4 linked regions of the Xenopus tropicalis genome follow. The protein of the gene in region 1 purifies or fractionates together with the protein of each later gene. This does not show direct contact. Links are inferred from orthologs where the notes say so. Each region holds a gene or a part of one and is shown on either strand. Other genes may lie near its edges.

What was found.
Region 2: the proteins of kif23 (region 1) and racgap1 purify together in Homo sapiens (co-immunoprecipitation; 10 studies listed by BioGRID and IntAct, counting the BioPlex papers as one, with this or other methods). This does not show direct contact. The link is inferred for Xenopus tropicalis from reciprocal best matches to the Homo sapiens genes KIF23 and RACGAP1.
Region 3: the proteins of kif23 (region 1) and ect2 purify together in Homo sapiens (co-immunoprecipitation; 3 studies listed by BioGRID and IntAct, with this or other methods). This does not show direct contact. The link is inferred for Xenopus tropicalis from reciprocal best matches to the Homo sapiens genes KIF23 and ECT2.
Region 4: the proteins of kif23 (region 1) and shcbp1 purify together in Homo sapiens (affinity purification with western blotting; 9 studies listed by BioGRID and IntAct, with this or other methods). This does not show direct contact. The link is inferred for Xenopus tropicalis from reciprocal best matches to the Homo sapiens genes KIF23 and SHCBP1.

What each region holds. Positions count from the first base shown.
Region 1 is NC_030679.2:118,016,888-118,021,386, reverse strand, and holds part of kif23 (kinesin-like protein KIF23), read right to left. Parts: intron 2,075-4,499; coding exon 1,811-2,074; intron 1-1,810.
Region 2 is NC_030678.2:148,520,813-148,525,311, forward strand, and holds part of racgap1 (rac GTPase-activating protein 1), read right to left. Parts: intron 3,096-4,499; 5' UTR 3,092-3,095; coding exon 3,007-3,091; intron 2,073-3,006; coding exon 1,870-2,072; intron 1,781-1,869; coding exon 1,641-1,780; intron 1,199-1,640; coding exon 1,129-1,198; intron 176-1,128; coding exon 122-175; intron 1-121.
Region 3 is NC_030681.2:110,939,233-110,943,731, reverse strand, and holds part of ect2 (protein ECT2), read left to right. Parts: intron 1-207; coding exon 208-276; intron 277-547; coding exon 548-658; intron 659-1,545; coding exon 1,546-1,642; intron 1,643-2,283; coding exon 2,284-2,365; intron 2,366-2,654; coding exon 2,655-2,733; intron 2,734-3,005; coding exon 3,006-3,125; intron 3,126-4,499. UniProt on the Homo sapiens protein: Guanine nucleotide exchange factor (GEF) that catalyzes the exchange of GDP for GTP. Promotes guanine nucleotide exchange on the Rho family members of small GTPases, like RHOA, RHOC, RAC1 and CDC42.
Region 4 is NC_030680.2:72,872,903-72,876,056, reverse strand, and holds part of shcbp1 (SHC SH2 domain-binding protein 1), read left to right. Parts: intron 1-2,506; coding exon 2,507-2,625; intron 2,626-3,077; coding exon 3,078-3,154. UniProt on the Homo sapiens protein: May play a role in signaling pathways governing cellular proliferation, cell growth and differentiation. May be a component of a novel signaling pathway downstream of Shc. Acts as a positive regulator of FGF signaling in neural progenitor cells.

The sequences.
Region 1 (4,499 bases):
GATAGCCCTAATGAGTGTATCCTGCATCCCCTCCAGCAAGATTCACAGATGTACTTTGCAGAGAAACCTCTATGTACACAAGTGTAAGCCGGGGGAATGACAGAATAGGAGGAAAGGAGACGTTTTTGGATGACAAACCATATAATTGCATATAAGAACACAGTGCCAAGATAATTCTGTGGTTACCAGACCTGCTGATTGCTTACATCATACAATGATTTGTCTTTATTTAATCATCATATTAATGGCATGCTATCACATTCAACAGCAAAGCAGAAAGGCTGGGGCAGTTGCTGGTACTTAGGAGAATGTAGTTCTGTTTCCATAATGTGACCCAAACCATCAATTTCTCGCCAATGACTGTAGCGCAGCTGAGCCCATAAATCATATAGTGACACAGTAAGCAACCCGCCCAACATGCAAAGGACAGCAAAGCATTGGTAAGGAAAGACACAAGGACGTTGTTCAGAGTGCAATGGATGTGGGAAACGGAGCATTAGTCACTGGGGTACAGTCTGATGGTCAGTTAGGGTGTGATTTTAAGTAGAATGACTATATGCACCCCCACATAGCTCTGGAAGGCAAAATGAAGGTGATTTAGGGTGAACATGTATATGATGGCCTAGATATTCTTCTACTTGGATGTCTCTTCTCATAGATCTGAAAACTTGTTATAAGCCAGAGGGGCAAAATGCCAGGCCTCAAAGTGGGGCTTTGAAATAAAAAGGAGTAAACCCTACAAATGAATAAGATTATTTTATATACTGAATTTACTGCACCAGCCTAAAGGTTCAGCATCGCTTTAGTAGTAATGATCCAGTTAAGAGTGTCAGTGACACTGCACATGTTCAATGTGCTCTGGGCAGCTAAGCAGAAAATGAGGTTGGCCTGTTATATAAGCGGATGCTACAGGGCTGATTATTCATTTCTGGTGGTAATTGCACTGGTTTCTGAGAATCTGAATTAGTAATCAGTCCTGCATTATGACTTTTATAATAGCTATACTTACATACATGTATACACAATACATTGTGTCTGCCCCTAAGCTCAGGTAAAGGACAGATTCACAGTGCATGTGTTAAGAATTTGCAGAAGAGATGAAGCGTGGCATCACTGCTAAAGGGCAGGGCTTGCCTTGGGCTGGTACTGAAACCCAAACATAACGTGCAGTATTTGTATCCTACATCTTTGTTGTAGCTCTTACAGAGAGGGAACAGTGTGTACGAATGTTTTAAGCTCCTTTTTCAAGATAAACTGATGCTATGTAAAGTATGTTTTACACAGTCAGAAGCAGTGTGCCAGCTTATACATAAAGGATAGAATATAAAGCAGTCCATAAAGCTTCCGAGCCAGCCAAAGGCCATAAAAATGTCTTTGTAGGGCCGGCCGGGCAGATGTAATAGGTCACTAGTATCTTGGCTAACATGGGACATAACTTTTACTAATTAGATGCTTTTGAGGAACAGATTATTTCTTAAAAGAACTGGAATATCATTTTCAATTTTTTTTCTCCAGAAAACTGATTTCAGCAAAGGACAAAGCAACAAGCTAGTAACTTCCCTCTAACTCTAGCAAGACATACTGCATTGCCTTGATCTTTCCTCAAGGAGGCAGAAATGCAACGGCTGAAATAAGCACAGCTGTATATTTACTAAGGACCTGCAGTTTAGTCAATTGAAAGCAGATGCTGTTGCATCAAGTTATGCCATGGCATATGGGGCAAGAGAGCAATAGAGCAGGCATAACTTGTCAGTGGCAATGCACTAGGCTACAGTAAGCAGCAGTAATCACTGACTAATTACTCACTGACCCTGAAACACTGATCCTCTTCTAGATCTGTTTGTAGACTGGCTGCATTAACTGCTGGCCTGCTCTGTGCTGAATTACTCTTTCTAGCTTCCTCTGGCTCCTTCCGCCTGCGGCTGGAGCACCCATTGCTCTGAGGGGTGTGCTGGGGTGTCCTCTGTTCCCACTGCGTGACACATGAGGCCACGGATAGGCTGCCGCAGGAATTTGAGCGCCTGTGCAGCTGCAACCGTGCAGGGGTGGGCTGGGGAACTGGGTCACCCAGGAGCTAAAGAGACCAGAGACAATTAGTCAACACAAAAAAGCAATATATGGGGCACCTGGAATGCACTAAGTTTTAAATTAAGTCCTGCTCATATACAATTAGTAGTATCATACGGTCAACAGCAAATATATCTTGAAACATATAATAGCTTATTACAGCAGGCAAAAAATACACTGAACACTATAGCCTGACTAGAATAAGCTAACAGTGTAAGGAACCCCTCCAGCCTTGTTCAGCAGATTCTCATAAAGAATTGTATGAAGTTTTATAGCGCAACTAATGCCCAAGAGAAGCTAAGGTTACAATAGCGCCTCCCAACTCCCACAGCCAGCATCCCTGTGCAATATTAAAGGACCAAAAAAAGTCCAATGTTTCGACCACATCTATGTGATCCTCCAGGAAGATATGTTCGTATGTATATACACACACACTATATGCCAATATGTATTGGTATTTAAAGCTTGTTCAAACTCTATTGTACACATTGGAGGGACTCCAAAAAGTGGGGGCAGCACATATGGCACTCTTATATGGAACAGTATCTCTAGCCATGGGAAGCCGCACAGCAGGCCTACGCCATAAGAGGACTTGACATAACCTTAGCATCTCTAGCCCCTTAATTGCCCTTTAAAGGAACAGTAACACCAAAAAATTAAAGTGTATAAAAGTAACTAAAATATAATGTGCTGCTGCCCTGCACTGGTAAAAGTTGTGTGTTTACTTCAGAAAGTCTACTATAATTTATATAAATAAGCTGCTATGTAACCATGGGGGCAGCCATTCAAAGGAGAAAAGGCACAGGCACATAGCAGATAACAGATAAAACACTATTGTATTCTACATAACTTATCTGTTATCTGCTATGTAACCTGTGCCTTTTCTCCTTTTTTCCAGCTTGAATGGCTGCCCCCGTGGCTACACAGCAGCTTATTATATAAATTATAGTAGTGTTACTGTAGCAAACACACCAGTTTTACCAGTGCAGGGCAACAGTGCATTCTATTTTTATTACTTTGGTGTTACTGTTCCTTTAAAGAGAACCTGACAGTTTTCAGTTAACAATAGGCATGTCTTTAGAATTTAAAAAAATAAATAAATAGAAGCAGTAGTTTTAAAACTGCACAAGCAAAGCCCCATGGGGGAAAAAAAATGGAAACTATTAGAGAAGGACTCCTGGTATACTGTGCAATCCCAGCATTCTCCTCTTTACAAACGGAGGAGTTTCAGTGAAACAGCATGAGGCCCTGTCTCCCCAGTGCCCCCTGGCACCCCCCTTCCCCCCCATGCCAAGACACAAGGTTACACAAGGTTACACAAGGGAAGGAACACAGCACTAGGCCAAGGGACCACAATAATATACATGGGTGTAAGTAGATGAGCTACAGAGACTGTACCTAGCATTAGGTTAGTGTCAGTAGGACAAATAGTCACACAGTGGGGCTTATTTACCAATACTGAACACATTTATCACAATGTAGTAACCCATAACAACTAGAGGTTTTCATTATTTCATTGTTGATAAAACTTAATTGTGAGTGCTCTAAAAGTTATTTGTTAAAGTTATTTTCCATCCTCTCCCTTCCCTCACCATGTACCACTGCCCTCTCTCCTTTTAGCTTCTGTGTTTCGTTCCCCAGACCAGTTTTCTCGCCTTCCAATTTTCTGTACCCATATTCTGATTTCTCCCCAAGGACCATTTTTTTTTCTGCTCTTCCCTTTCACCCGGTTCCTTTTACTTGTGACCCACAACTTTCCCTCCTTAGTCTCTAATATTCATTCTTATACACACTCCTTTTAACTGCTATCCACAATCCTTATTACATTGGCACTCCATTATTCACTTCTTTCCTGTTTTCTTTTAATGTTCCAGCCAAAATCATTTACTTTCCCTTTATTTAAATTATTATGCTTTGGTAAAATGAGAGCTTGCCTATCACAAACGAGAGAGCAGGGCAGAATGAGTGCTATCTTGCGGATTTAACAAATATGTAACAAATAAAAGGGAAGGGAAAAAATGGTGAAATGGGAGGAGAAAGCAGGTCACAGGGTAGCAGTCTATAAAAGGGCAAGCAGCAGGCCACCATTTGGCTGAGCAACACTTATGAAATGATGAAAATGATTGCTGATAAATCCAGGACTAGCAACACATCCAAAACAAAGAACCCAAGCTCAGAGCAAACTAAATTAGCATCTTGCAGCACAGATACAGTAAACCAGGCAGTGCTTTGTAACCAGCCATCAAGAGCTGCAACACTGTCTCTGGGATTTACTAGCGTTAAACAATACAAAGCACAATTTCATTAGCTGGAAAAAAACATGTTAAATAGACAAGTTCTAAAAAAAACTGAGCTCTAGGCATAGAAATGGTATAACTGGGGGAAAAGACAGTTTCTGCAAATGTACTTCCCCCTCGTGTGGGGAGTTACAC
Region 2 (4,499 bases), on another chromosome or scaffold:
TTGACTCTGTGGAACATTTAGTGCTTAAAATACACTATATATTGTTTCTACCTTCCCTTTCTTGCCCTTTGAGTGCCGTTTTTTTTGTGGGTAAACACAAGAAAGTTAAAAAGGAACTTACCCGTTTCTCTCGTTTCTTAAGCCGCACATTTCGTACAAGAGAAGAATCCCAGTCCTGTTGATATTATGTAGAGTTAGGTTAATTTCCCTTTAATATACTTCTAAACCAGAAAGATCAAAAGGTAACTGCATCTTGCAGCAATGTAAAAATGTATTGATAACTTTACACACAAATGTCAACCTCAGATCATCATATCACCATTACCAGACCACATCTCCACCATCATCTTTTATCCTCTAGAAACCAATTTCCTGGCAAATGGCCAGAGTAGGAACACAAACTAGTGTGAATACCGCAGCCTGCCACTAAACAGCATTCTACACTGTAGCCTGTATAAACAAAAATGATCTCAGGACCTGCCATCAGGCATAATAATCCAGGTGGTCATCTAAACATGGAATCCGCATGATTAGCCTACAGCTACAAATGACTAACATTGACACTCAAATAGGATATATGGAAAAGATGGAAAGAGTAGCAAACATACACGCAAACGCATCTTGAATATCTAAGAGACAGTTTCCTGGCTCAATGGCTAAAGAACCTAACAACGCCTTTCAGACTTGGCTTATTTAAATCTAAGGGCAAGGACAAGTTGGGAGATTGAGCCAGCATTCAAATTAAAAAATAAATAAATAAAATACCGCTAACTACAAATCTCTGTGCGTCACTGCCCTAAGGACTTGCTGGGGCAGATCTTTGCCATTCAGGGATAATGAACAGCTTTGGAAGAAACTTCAGTTCCTATGATGGCACCACATAAGAGTCCAGAAAAAAACAACCACCATGTTTGACATAAGCAAATGATAGTGTGTATCCCTCTGATTACATCTAAAAGCATCACAGTAAAAAAATTTGCCCAACACTATTAACGTACATCACCCCGTATAGTGGAGTTAGATCAAGACAATTTTTTAAAATAAAAACCAAGGCAGCTTTGACATAATCCCTATCTACCAAAACAAAATGGCCTTAAACAATGCCTTAAAAAATATATGGCTTATTACCAATGAGTCTTCAGTCTTGTCAAAGCTGATGTCTGAGAGAATGGAAGCAGATTCATCTATTGTTGAGAGCCTAAACAAATGTGAGGAATCAGGGAAAATTAGCTAACGCATTGCAATGTAGAATTAAACTTGAATTTTTGCACAGCTATAAGCTAGTTCTTGCTACAGCTCAGTAGCAACAATTCTGTATTTAATAGCAGATTTTACATATACATGCACTGTGTATAGTAATAATGTTCAAGTGTGCTTATTAATATGTGGATTTGCATATTTCAGTTATAAGAATGGACAGTGGCATGTAAATTGCCATGTGACGGGGGGGGGTCTTCCAAAACTGCCACATGCACCCAGATGGCGGGACAGATTGGTGAAAGCTGAAAACTGCCCTGGACGTGTACGGCTACCTCAACTGCCAACAAAATAGTTGTATGTTTTTGACAGCATTACTACTGCTGCTACAATACAGTTATGCATGCAATAGTCCAAGGCGCAGTTACTGGCTTCATATTTACCTCCTAGTGCCATTTCCATCAGCGGACATTTGAGTCCTGTTATTAAGAAAAGCTAAAGCACTTCTTTGCTGCTCACTGAGCTGAATGCTGCCAGATGGATCACACATTAGCAGTTCCCGTATCAGCTGTATTTGTCGTTCCTACCATAAGACAAAACAGGTGTTACTAACAGCACAGGTTGATGTCTTGTCTCCCCCAAAACTGTCGCACACAAATTCTCCAATCTCACCAGTTTTTCACATTCCACCTCTGCACGTTGTCTCCTCTTTATCTCCACATCCACCTGATTGCGTGCATGCTTTAGCTTAACTTCCAGCGCACTGCGCTCAGTTTCAGTCTTCATCAGCATTTCTTTATTTTTTATCAGTTCTTGCTCAGATTTTTGCCATTTTCTTCGAAAGTCTTCAAAATTCTTAGCCAGCTGAATAAACTCTAAGGAATAGGGAGAAAAGGCAATGATTGATCTCTACCATTCAGAAAGAGCATGACAATACCACTCACAAATAAAACCACACGTGAACTGTGCCTAGGGCTATACTGTCAAACTAGAACGCTTTTAAGTTCCAAACAATCAATTGCTCTCCAGGAAGAAAGGTTTGATTTTAGTGTGTTGGCATTTCCAATTATATTTACTCGCAATTTAGGATGTCTAGCTCATACAAGTTAGACAGAAACGCAATATAAATTTAGTTTAAAAGTGAAATATCAGTTTACAGTTATTTTTTGGAAAATTTCCTGTAAAGTTAATACTATGACAAAAATGTATGTTTTCAAAAAAGCTGATCGACATGAGCATGTTCTGTCATTTTTTTTGGGGGGGGGGGGGGGGGGGGAGATTTACAGAAGAATATGCAAAATCAGAGGGCTGGGAAGCCAGATACTCCCGGCTGGTGCTTCTGTTGGCAGAAAACTATACCAGCCTTCCGAGCGAGCAATGTGGAGCAATATTTTTACCTTCGCATTGGGTGCACATGTGCAGTAGAGTGAAAAGGCAAACTTTAAAAGGAGAAGGGCAGCTTTTTCACTATACTGCACGTGTCCTGGCCTGGGCCACTGAAGAATAAAGAAACAGAAGACAATGATTGTCCCATGGTGCTTGCTTTGGAGTACCCCAGACTGGCCCGGGGTATTAGGTGAGCGATTATAAGCACTAAGAGGTGCCTAACATTTGCAACATTTTGGTGCCCAGTTTTAAAATGAGGCAGTACTAATCAAATCAGTATGGGGGGGTCACACCACCACAAACAAAGAAATTCAGCTAACCGACTGTTATATTACCATGAAGATTGAATAACGTTACAGCCAACAAAGCCGAAGTTCTAATATGCAGAGACAGCAAAGCTTCCATCTTGGGATGCATACTTACGTGGCTCTATACCCTCATTCAGGCCATCTACTTGCCGCATTAATTGCTCAAAAAGATTGCGTAGGTTCATCAGGTTTGTCGCCATCTTCCTGCAAAGAATTGTCGATTAGTAGAAAATCACAACTTGGAGCATCAATAGGTGGAGCAGTGCTCGACTCGAAAGTTCTGGGAGCACATTTTGACCAAGGGAGATTTGCAGGGACTGTTTACATAAATACAGACATGTAAAAACCATATATACAAGTATGCTACTACACTTTAAGCCATTAAAACAGCAACTGAAAACTACTTTTTCACAACTCCAGCAAACCCATCATATACCTTGCTAATTGGCCAAAATTATCAAGAAAGCTCAACCATAAAGTTCTAAAAGGCTCATATCCAAGCAAAATGAAAGATAGGCAGACAGACGGTTATACACAAACTTCTACAATGTAAACTTGCATATAAACACCATACATCTTAAAAACTAGTACAAAACCAAGCAAAAATGCCTAAAAAAAATTATACGAAACAAAAATATTTACAGAAACAGCACAAAAACTTATGTGCCTACGACCATAACACACATAGCACATTTAACCTTATGGATATATAAAAAAAAAAAAAAACTACAGGTATACAGGCTCAAATTACAGAAGTCAGCCTCCTTATTTTAAGAAAATAAATCTTATTTTAAAAATGATTTTCTTTTTCCCTAATAAAACAGTACCTTATGCTTCCTTGATAGTAACCAAGCTGCATAAAAGAAGCTCTGAAAGCTTGTAGCCAGACTGGGCTTTTGTTAAAACAAAACCAAAGTCAAGCAAAAGGACCAGACCAACAGAGGGGTGGAACATAGAAGGCAAAGCAACATAGTCATCCCATATGTTGCTGGAACATAAGAAAAAAAATCAAATTTTTCAATCGCATTCCTGTGTTTTTCAAACCCAGCAACACTCAGACGGACCTGGCAGCGATACAGTTTTTAAGCACGGGCCCCTTTAAAGAGTTACAGGCCCTTGGCTCATTGGTGGTCAGCGGGTAATTTTATTGGTTGCGCCCTGTGCGTACGTGTCACGTCAGCACGCACGGGGCGCAACCTAATAAAAGATCTGCAGCTGCGGGACCTAAGAAGAGACAGCGGACGCAGAACGCTGGGGGATGTTGGGGAGAACGCTGGGGGGAGCTGGAGGATGTTGGGGAGGACACTGAGTGGGGGGAGCTGGAGGATGCAGAGGGGGGAGCTGGAGGATGTTGGGGAGGACGCTGAGGTGTGGGAGTTCATTTTCACTACATTCCACATTTATTAAAGCAACTGTTTTTATTCTTTAATTTGAAATTGATGCCTCAATTAATGTCATTTTATTGGTATTTATTTTGATTATTGAAACTTAGCAGTTGCTGCTGTATTTCCCACCCTAGGCTTATACTCGAGTCAATAAGTTTTTCCCGTTTCCTTAGGTAAAATTAGGTACCTCGGCTTATATTCGGATCGGCTTATACTCAAGTAT
Region 3 (4,499 bases), on another chromosome or scaffold:
AATCGGGGGAAATCATTGCTCAGTTAATAACTGACTCAGCGGCCATTCATAATATCATGGTCTATAGAGTGCTATATTATAGTGCTTTAGGATATTAAATATGTGAAAAGATCAACATAAACTCCTCAAAGCCTCTTTTCTAAAATTTAATACTTGACATTCTCATGATCTTTAACCATTATTTATTTATTTATTTATTTTTTCTAGGGAGACCTGGAAAAACTTATGATTGACTGGGCCGAAAGTAAAAGTATTGGGGATATTATCCTCACCTATGTAAGTTTATTTGAAAATTAATTCTTTTTACAATGTTTTTGCTTACTGACCTTTTTACACTATGCTCAGTGTTTATAGGTTTTTGTCTTAAAAAAAAAAAAATATATATATCTGAATACTTAGTTTGTCAAATATTTTGTCAGATCCCCATATCAGAGTTACACTATAGGTGTATGCTGCATTTAAGTAAGTAGTAAGCTAGAATAGGCATCTTGCATCTTACACAGTTGTTTTGCTTAATGTGTTAAAGAAATACCTTTTGTGTCTTTAGTCTAAAGATCTGGTGAAAATATATCCACCTTTTGTCAACTTCTTTGAAATGAGCAAGGAAATGATTATAAAATGTGAAAAGCAGAAACCGAGATTTCACGCTTTTTTAAAGGTATGTGTGCATTTTATGCAAATGTTTTCTAAATCTTAAATTCTTGTGATGCTTTTAAAAAATGTCTAACACAAATGTCTCCACAAAGTTGAAAGCCCTCACAGCAAGATGGCAAATCAAAAAAAGTCAAAAATGTATTATTCCATGCTCGTATGTGCGCGTTTCCATCCACCAGGGACCTTCGTCAGGATGGTCGTTGTCCCTGGTGGATCGAAATGTGTTTTTAGTGTGATGGTTATCTAAGTGCATTAGCAATGAAAGTCAGTTCAGAATTTCTTGGGGCTAAAAGGAATTTTTATGTATGTTGTCCCCTGGGGAACGGTAAGCATAGTCTGATTGAAGAACAATCCATGGATTTTTACTTTATCCTTTTGCAGTGATTCAAGCCAAATCATGGATAAATAATAATTAGAAAGATTAATGCAGTATATGTTGCTTGGGGAAAATGTGTACCTTCTGCAATATGCACCCTACAAAATCATAATAAAGAGATGTAAGTAAACAGATGGGACAAGGCTGGGTGAATGGAGATCTCCTAAGAGTAGGCCAAAAGTGTCAGGTAATCGCATGAACTATTCATTAGTAGCATGAGTCAGTGACTGAATGGGTGGGAAGGTATTTAAGAGCCTCAAAATCCCTTGCTCTGTAACCTTCCTTGATTAGCACAAGAAGTTTTTGATCATTACAAAGGACCCCCCAATAAACTTGAGAGCGCTTCTTTTAAAAGTTCTCACCTCTTTCGCCCCACTACTTGTACTAAGTTTTGTTTTCTGAAATGCAAGTTTGATAACCCCATTGTTTGTTTTTTTTACAATTGAGAACACCATAACGTGACTTTATTCGTATTAAGTCTATAATAATAAGTATAACTGGTATTATGCTTCTAGATCAACCAGTCAAAGCCAGAATGTGGACGACAAACTTTAGTCGAGCTCCTTATCAGACCTGTTCAACGGTTACCAAGTGTTGCACTTCTTCTGAATGGTAAATTGATTATTCATCTGTTCTTATATTTTTATTACTAAAAAGGTACATAATTAGATTACCAATATTCACCTTGCAAGGACCAAACACAGGGGACCTTAATGGTACTGGCACACCAGGAGATTAGTCAACCATGTTAAATCTCAGCTATAGCTGCAACTGGTTTTCTGCGTATGCCTTTTAACCACCAATAAAGTAAATCGCCAGTGGGAAAAACACATGTGATGCTTCATTTTCGACCAAAGTTTCCTCAAGAGGCTACTTCAGAAAAACAAAGTGCTGTGTATGTTTTCCCACCGGCAAGTCAATTTATTGCTGGATGGAAAGCATTTCAGGGAGATTAGTTGCCCACAGTAGCAAAGATTTGTTGGGGGTGACTAAGCTGCCAGTGTGCCAGTACCCTAAATGTCCCTTTTCAGCTTAAGAACAACAAAAAACAGATTTTTTGTGACTAAAACAATAGGCTAAAAACCTATTCATTGCACTCATGTTGAACAAAAGAGTATATTGCCCCTTTAAGTACAAGTTTACATCTAAACTATTTGGCCAGTTTTCTGAAAAGATAATGTTTTGCATAGAATTGCTGGCGATTTGCTCTGTTCAGTCTTTGAAAGTAACTTGAAACTTTTCTGTTTTTGTAGATCTCAAAAAGCACACAGCAGATGATAACCCAGACAAAGTAATGTTGGAAAAAGCAATTGAATCATTAAAAGAAGTCATGATGTAAGTAAAAGCTTTAAGCGTTGGGCTCTGTGGGGCAGACCTGCAGATGCTGCTGCTCTTAGCTAGGAATTGTTTGTAAAAGCTTAGTTCCCCTTTCCTGAGAAGTGCTTGTGAAGTATCATGGGCATTGCATTTCTGCTCATTTAAAATGGATGTAAATGGACATGTCGACTGCTATGGTTCTCTGAGATCACGGTGGTCTAATGCTTGGGCTTCCATAAACCTGCCTGAATGTCATTTGGCAGCATTCTATGGTAACTGAATTCATTTAACTGTCCCTTATCTCCAGGCACATTAATGAAGATAAAAGGAAGACTGAAGGGCAAAAGCAGATTTTTGATGTCGTCTATGAAGTGGATGGATGTCCTGTAAGTATCAAAGTCTACATGCAGGGGTTAGAACTCATGATTCCAGGAGAACATAGTGTTTTTTTATAATCCATGTGTATTTTAGTGGTACCAAACCTCTTCCTAAATTGTGCTTAGTACAGGGCAAATCAGGCTATACCCATTAAATAGGATCCTTGTATATTATCTGTATGTTCATTTATCTGTGTGGCATTGTATCCTGGCCCATACATTTAGGGATAGACGCAGTACATATATTTTATAAGTTTTTTTTTTTTTTTTTTTTGTTCTAGGCAAATCTGTTATCTTCCCACCGAATTTTAGTGCAGCGTGTAGAAACAATTGCACTTGGTGAAGATCTTTGTGATCGAGGAGAACAAGTTACACTTTTCCTGTTTAATGATTGCCTTGAGGTAAAAAAAAATAAAAATCTTAAAATGAGTGTTATAGGGCATGTTGGAATGGAACATGCTGTGAACTTTATCTGCTGATTTTCAATGTGTTTTTTTTGTTTTGTTTTTAAATTAAATTGATGCCATAAGTGTTTTGTGCACTTTTATAGAAATATATACCTTTTTGTGTGTGTAAAAATTTACGACGGTAATAGTAAATAGAAGAGACACAACAAGCATTTTTTTCCCTGCAGGAAATAGTAAAGATTTATTACTTTTTCATATTAGGAAAGTGGGGAACATTTGCATTAAGTGCCTGTCTAAAATGCTCATTCATTGTACATATTTGTATTCCCTAACTTCATTTATATAACCAGAATTTTCTACACTAAAACGATTCAAACGTACTTAAATCACACTCTGACTTCCATTACCATACTAGAAGATGTACAGTCTCTCATTCATAGCTAAGCAAACACATGCCCATGCAAACACTTGTTCTCACTCAAGTTTAAGCGCTTACAAATGTAAATTCTCAATTACAGGTCCTTTTCAAAAAATTAGCATATTGTGATAAAGTTCATTATTTTCTGTAATGTACTGATAAACATTAGACTTTCATATATTTTAGATTCATTACACACAACTGAAGTAGTTCAAGCCTTTTCTTGTTTTAATATTGATGATTGTGGCATACAGCTCATGAAAACCCAAAATTCCTATCTCAAAAAATTAGCATATCATGAAAAGGTTCTCTAAACGAGCTATTAACCTAATCATCTGAATCAACAAATTAACTCTAAAAACCTGCAAAAGATTCCTGAGGCTTTTAAAAACTCCCAGCCTGGTTCATTACTCAAAACCGCAATCATGGGTAAGACTGCCAACCTGACTGCTGTCCAGAAGGCCATCATTGACACCCTCAAGCAAGAGGGTAAGACACAAAAAGAAATTTCTGAACAAATAGGCTGTTCCCAGAGTGCTGTATCAAGGCACCTCAGTGGGAAGTCTGTGGGAAGGAAAAAGTGTGGCAGAAAACGCTGCACAACGAGAAGAGGTGACTGGGCCCTGAGGAAGATTGTGGAGAAGGACCGATTCCAGACCTTGGGGGACCTGCGGAAGCAGTGGACTGAGTCTGGAGTAGAAACATCCAGAGCCACCGTGTACAGGCGCGTGCAGGAAATGGGCTACAGGTGCTGCATTCCCCAGGTCAAGCCACTTTTGAACCAGAAACAGCGGCAGAAGCGCCTGACCTGGGCTACAGAGAAGTAGCACTGGACTGTTGCTCAGTGGTCCAAAGTATGTCATTCGGAAATCAAGGTGCCAGAGTCTGGAGGAAGACTGGGGAGAGGGAAATGCCAAAATGCCTGAAGTCCAGTGTCAAGTACCCACAGT
Region 4 (3,154 bases), on another chromosome or scaffold:
ATCAAGGCTCGATGGCTCATTCCTTATGTTGCTTTTGTTCTGTGGTTAAGTGACACAAGTTTTCCTTCATTCCTTGGGCAGGTGTTCTCCCCCTTGCCATGGCTATGGATGCCAGTCTATTAGCAGTGGTGTATGGTCCTCTCCAGGGTCTGTGAAATGGGTTTACCTAGAGGGCCTATTAGATGCCTTGTACCTATCAGGGGTGATGAATCAAGTCCTGAAATTGTTTGGACCTCTCGCTCTTGTGCAGGGGCAAACAAAAGAATATTTCGTTTGCAGAATGGATTGCATTGCTTGCACTCATTAAGGAAATGGGAAAAAGAACTAACAACTGGCAGAGTATTTTGTCCTGTCATGTATCCACCCTGTGTCACCACAGGCCTTAATTTTACTTTCTGGTAGCAGTTTTGCTATGTTATTTAAGGAAGCTTTTATGCTTTTAATTGGATTTATGGTTTTTGTCACCAATCTCTGAATGTTTTGGGAGGTTGATTTTTAGGGCTATTCTCCATCCCTGCCTCTGAGCAGGCTATAAAGCAAAGTGTGCCAGGCATGAAGCCATCAGTGTGTACTGCATCCAGAGAACCACAAAACAGAGCAACAGACCAGGTCACAGTAGCAGCCATTAAAATAAAAAGAAAAAAAAAACCTGCACACCATTTTATTGTTGTATTTAAGCACATTCTGTGAATGACTTTTTTTTTTTTCTTTTTACACTGGGAGATGCCAGTACCATTTAACTTATAGATTGAAATTAAATTTCATATTTTTATACTGGGAAACTAACCTGTGTGGTTATGTTGCTCTTTGATTAAAAGAGGGACGTCAGTAAGTTGCCAGTATCGCTGCTATTATAGGATTTCTCTGGAGCCCTATAATAATTTTAAAGATCTAAAGCTTAGCAAAGATGTAGGGTAGAAATGTTGCATATTATGTTGTTGGCTTCTGTTCCAGCCCAAGGCAACCCACAGCCCTTTAGTAATGAAGATCTGTGCCCCCAAATATGCCCCCAGTAGCTCCCCATCTACTTTTCTGCTGATTCACTACACATTCTCTGTGCTACTGAGCTTAGGGACCGACTCACAATATACTGTATATATAGAATGCATGGGTTAATATGCAGCTTTGCCCTGCCTACACTATTCTTTGAGATTTGCAAAATTCCAGGGGGACTTGCCTCCCCTTGCCCCTATTTGTGGACACAAATGATAGAATGTAAAAGTCAACATACAAGGCTGATTAGTTATTAAATCAGGTCTGAAACTAGTGTATTTAGCCAACCCCTAAGCTTAACTTCTCAACAGCTGCCCAGAGTCCACAGAGCACGCGCAGTGTCACTGACACTTATAACAAAATCCAAGATGGGGAGCTCCTGTGACAACTTAAAGGCCTGGATCATTACTGTTGATTTCATTCCTTTAGAGATGCTCAAGCATAAGGCTGGTGCAGCAATTTCAGTATATAAAATATTTATCTCAAAACATTTATAGCTATTTTAAGGTTTAGTTCTCATTTAAGTAATGTTTTCTTATTATTGCCACTGAAATTGATACTAGTATTATTTAGTTGTTTTCCTGGTGATGGTGGTGAAACCATCACTAAAACGATGACTTTCTCTGGTGGACATATGTTAAAGGAGTAATGTCATGGGCAAACATGTTTTTTAAAAACTCATCAGTTAGTTAATAGAGCTTCGCCGGCAGGATCCTTCTGCAAGTTGGAGTAATATCCCCTCTCCTCCCTTTCCCCCCAGCAGCCGATCAGCAGAACATTGGAAAGGTAGCAAGATAGCAGCTCCCAGTAGATATCAGAATAGCACTCAATAGTAAGAAATCCAAGTCTGGCTTGGGACTCTTCCAGTTACATGGGAGTAGGAGAAATAATAGGTTACCTGAAAGCAGTTCTAATGTGTAGCGCTGGCTCTTTCTAAAAGCTCAGACTCAGGTACAATGCACTGAGGTGACTGCCTACACACAAATATTACAGCTAAAAAAATAAATTTGTTGCCATAAAAATCATTGCAGTATCCCTTTTAAAGTGATACTGACACTAAAAAAACTACTCTTCAAAATATGAATGTACTGATAGGGCTGTTTTTTTTAAGTAACTGTTACTTGAAGTTCCTACACCTGATTGTTTTGCCAACCTGACTGTCCCTTCTCAGCCTGTCAGTTATAGCTTCTAATGATAATGGACTCCTGCTGCACAAATATGGCAGCCCCCTCATAGAGGAACATTGGGGATCCGATACGTAATGTAAACGCATTGGGCAAATACTTCTACGGCAAAATTATAAACAGCATGCAAAGAACTTTGGATTTTACACATATACATCTCAAGTTTTTTACATTGATACAAAGGACCTTAAATGGCAAGGATTTTAATGTTTTAATAATAATCATTTTTAAATGATTAGTGGCTTTGGTTTTTTAATCCAGTAGTTCATAGATGTCTAACAAATTGTCTTTTTTTTTTTTTTTTTTTTTTAAACCTTTTACCCTCAAAGCTATCCATAGTGGAAAGACAGAGCTGGACAACTGCGTGTTGCAGTGTGAAACTACTGGAATCACTGTGAAGAAGTCTGCAGAGTTATTGATGAAGTACAGTGATTTATATGGAGCGAAGGTATTGACCATTCATATACATGCACTCATGTGTAATCCTAGTCTGTTACATTGCTAAGCAAGGGGTACTCTTATTTCTTCATATTATATACCTGTCAAGTTCATTCTACTACTTATTCTGTGGCTTTTCAGTGTCTGGGTAAACTGCTTTATGTGGGAATGAAACCACACATGACTGCAAAGCAGGGTGACAGTTAAGAGGAGGCAATGCATGAAGCATACTGAAAAGTTTATTCATAACACCTTTATTTTCTATCACAAAAAAGCAATGACAGTCAGTGCCATTTTAGTGCAGAATTTTTTTTTTTAGTACATAGTTACGTATGACCAATGTGGTAATGTTAGATCTAAGACAACGACACTTACTGTCGATATCCCATAAAATGGCTTTTAGACTATTACAATCTATTCGCTTACTTATATACTTACATACCTTTTATCATCATATTGCAGGGTGCTGGAATGGAAATCTACCCTGGCAGTAAGTGCACCTTAATCGGAAATGGCATACACCACTGCAGAGATGGCAT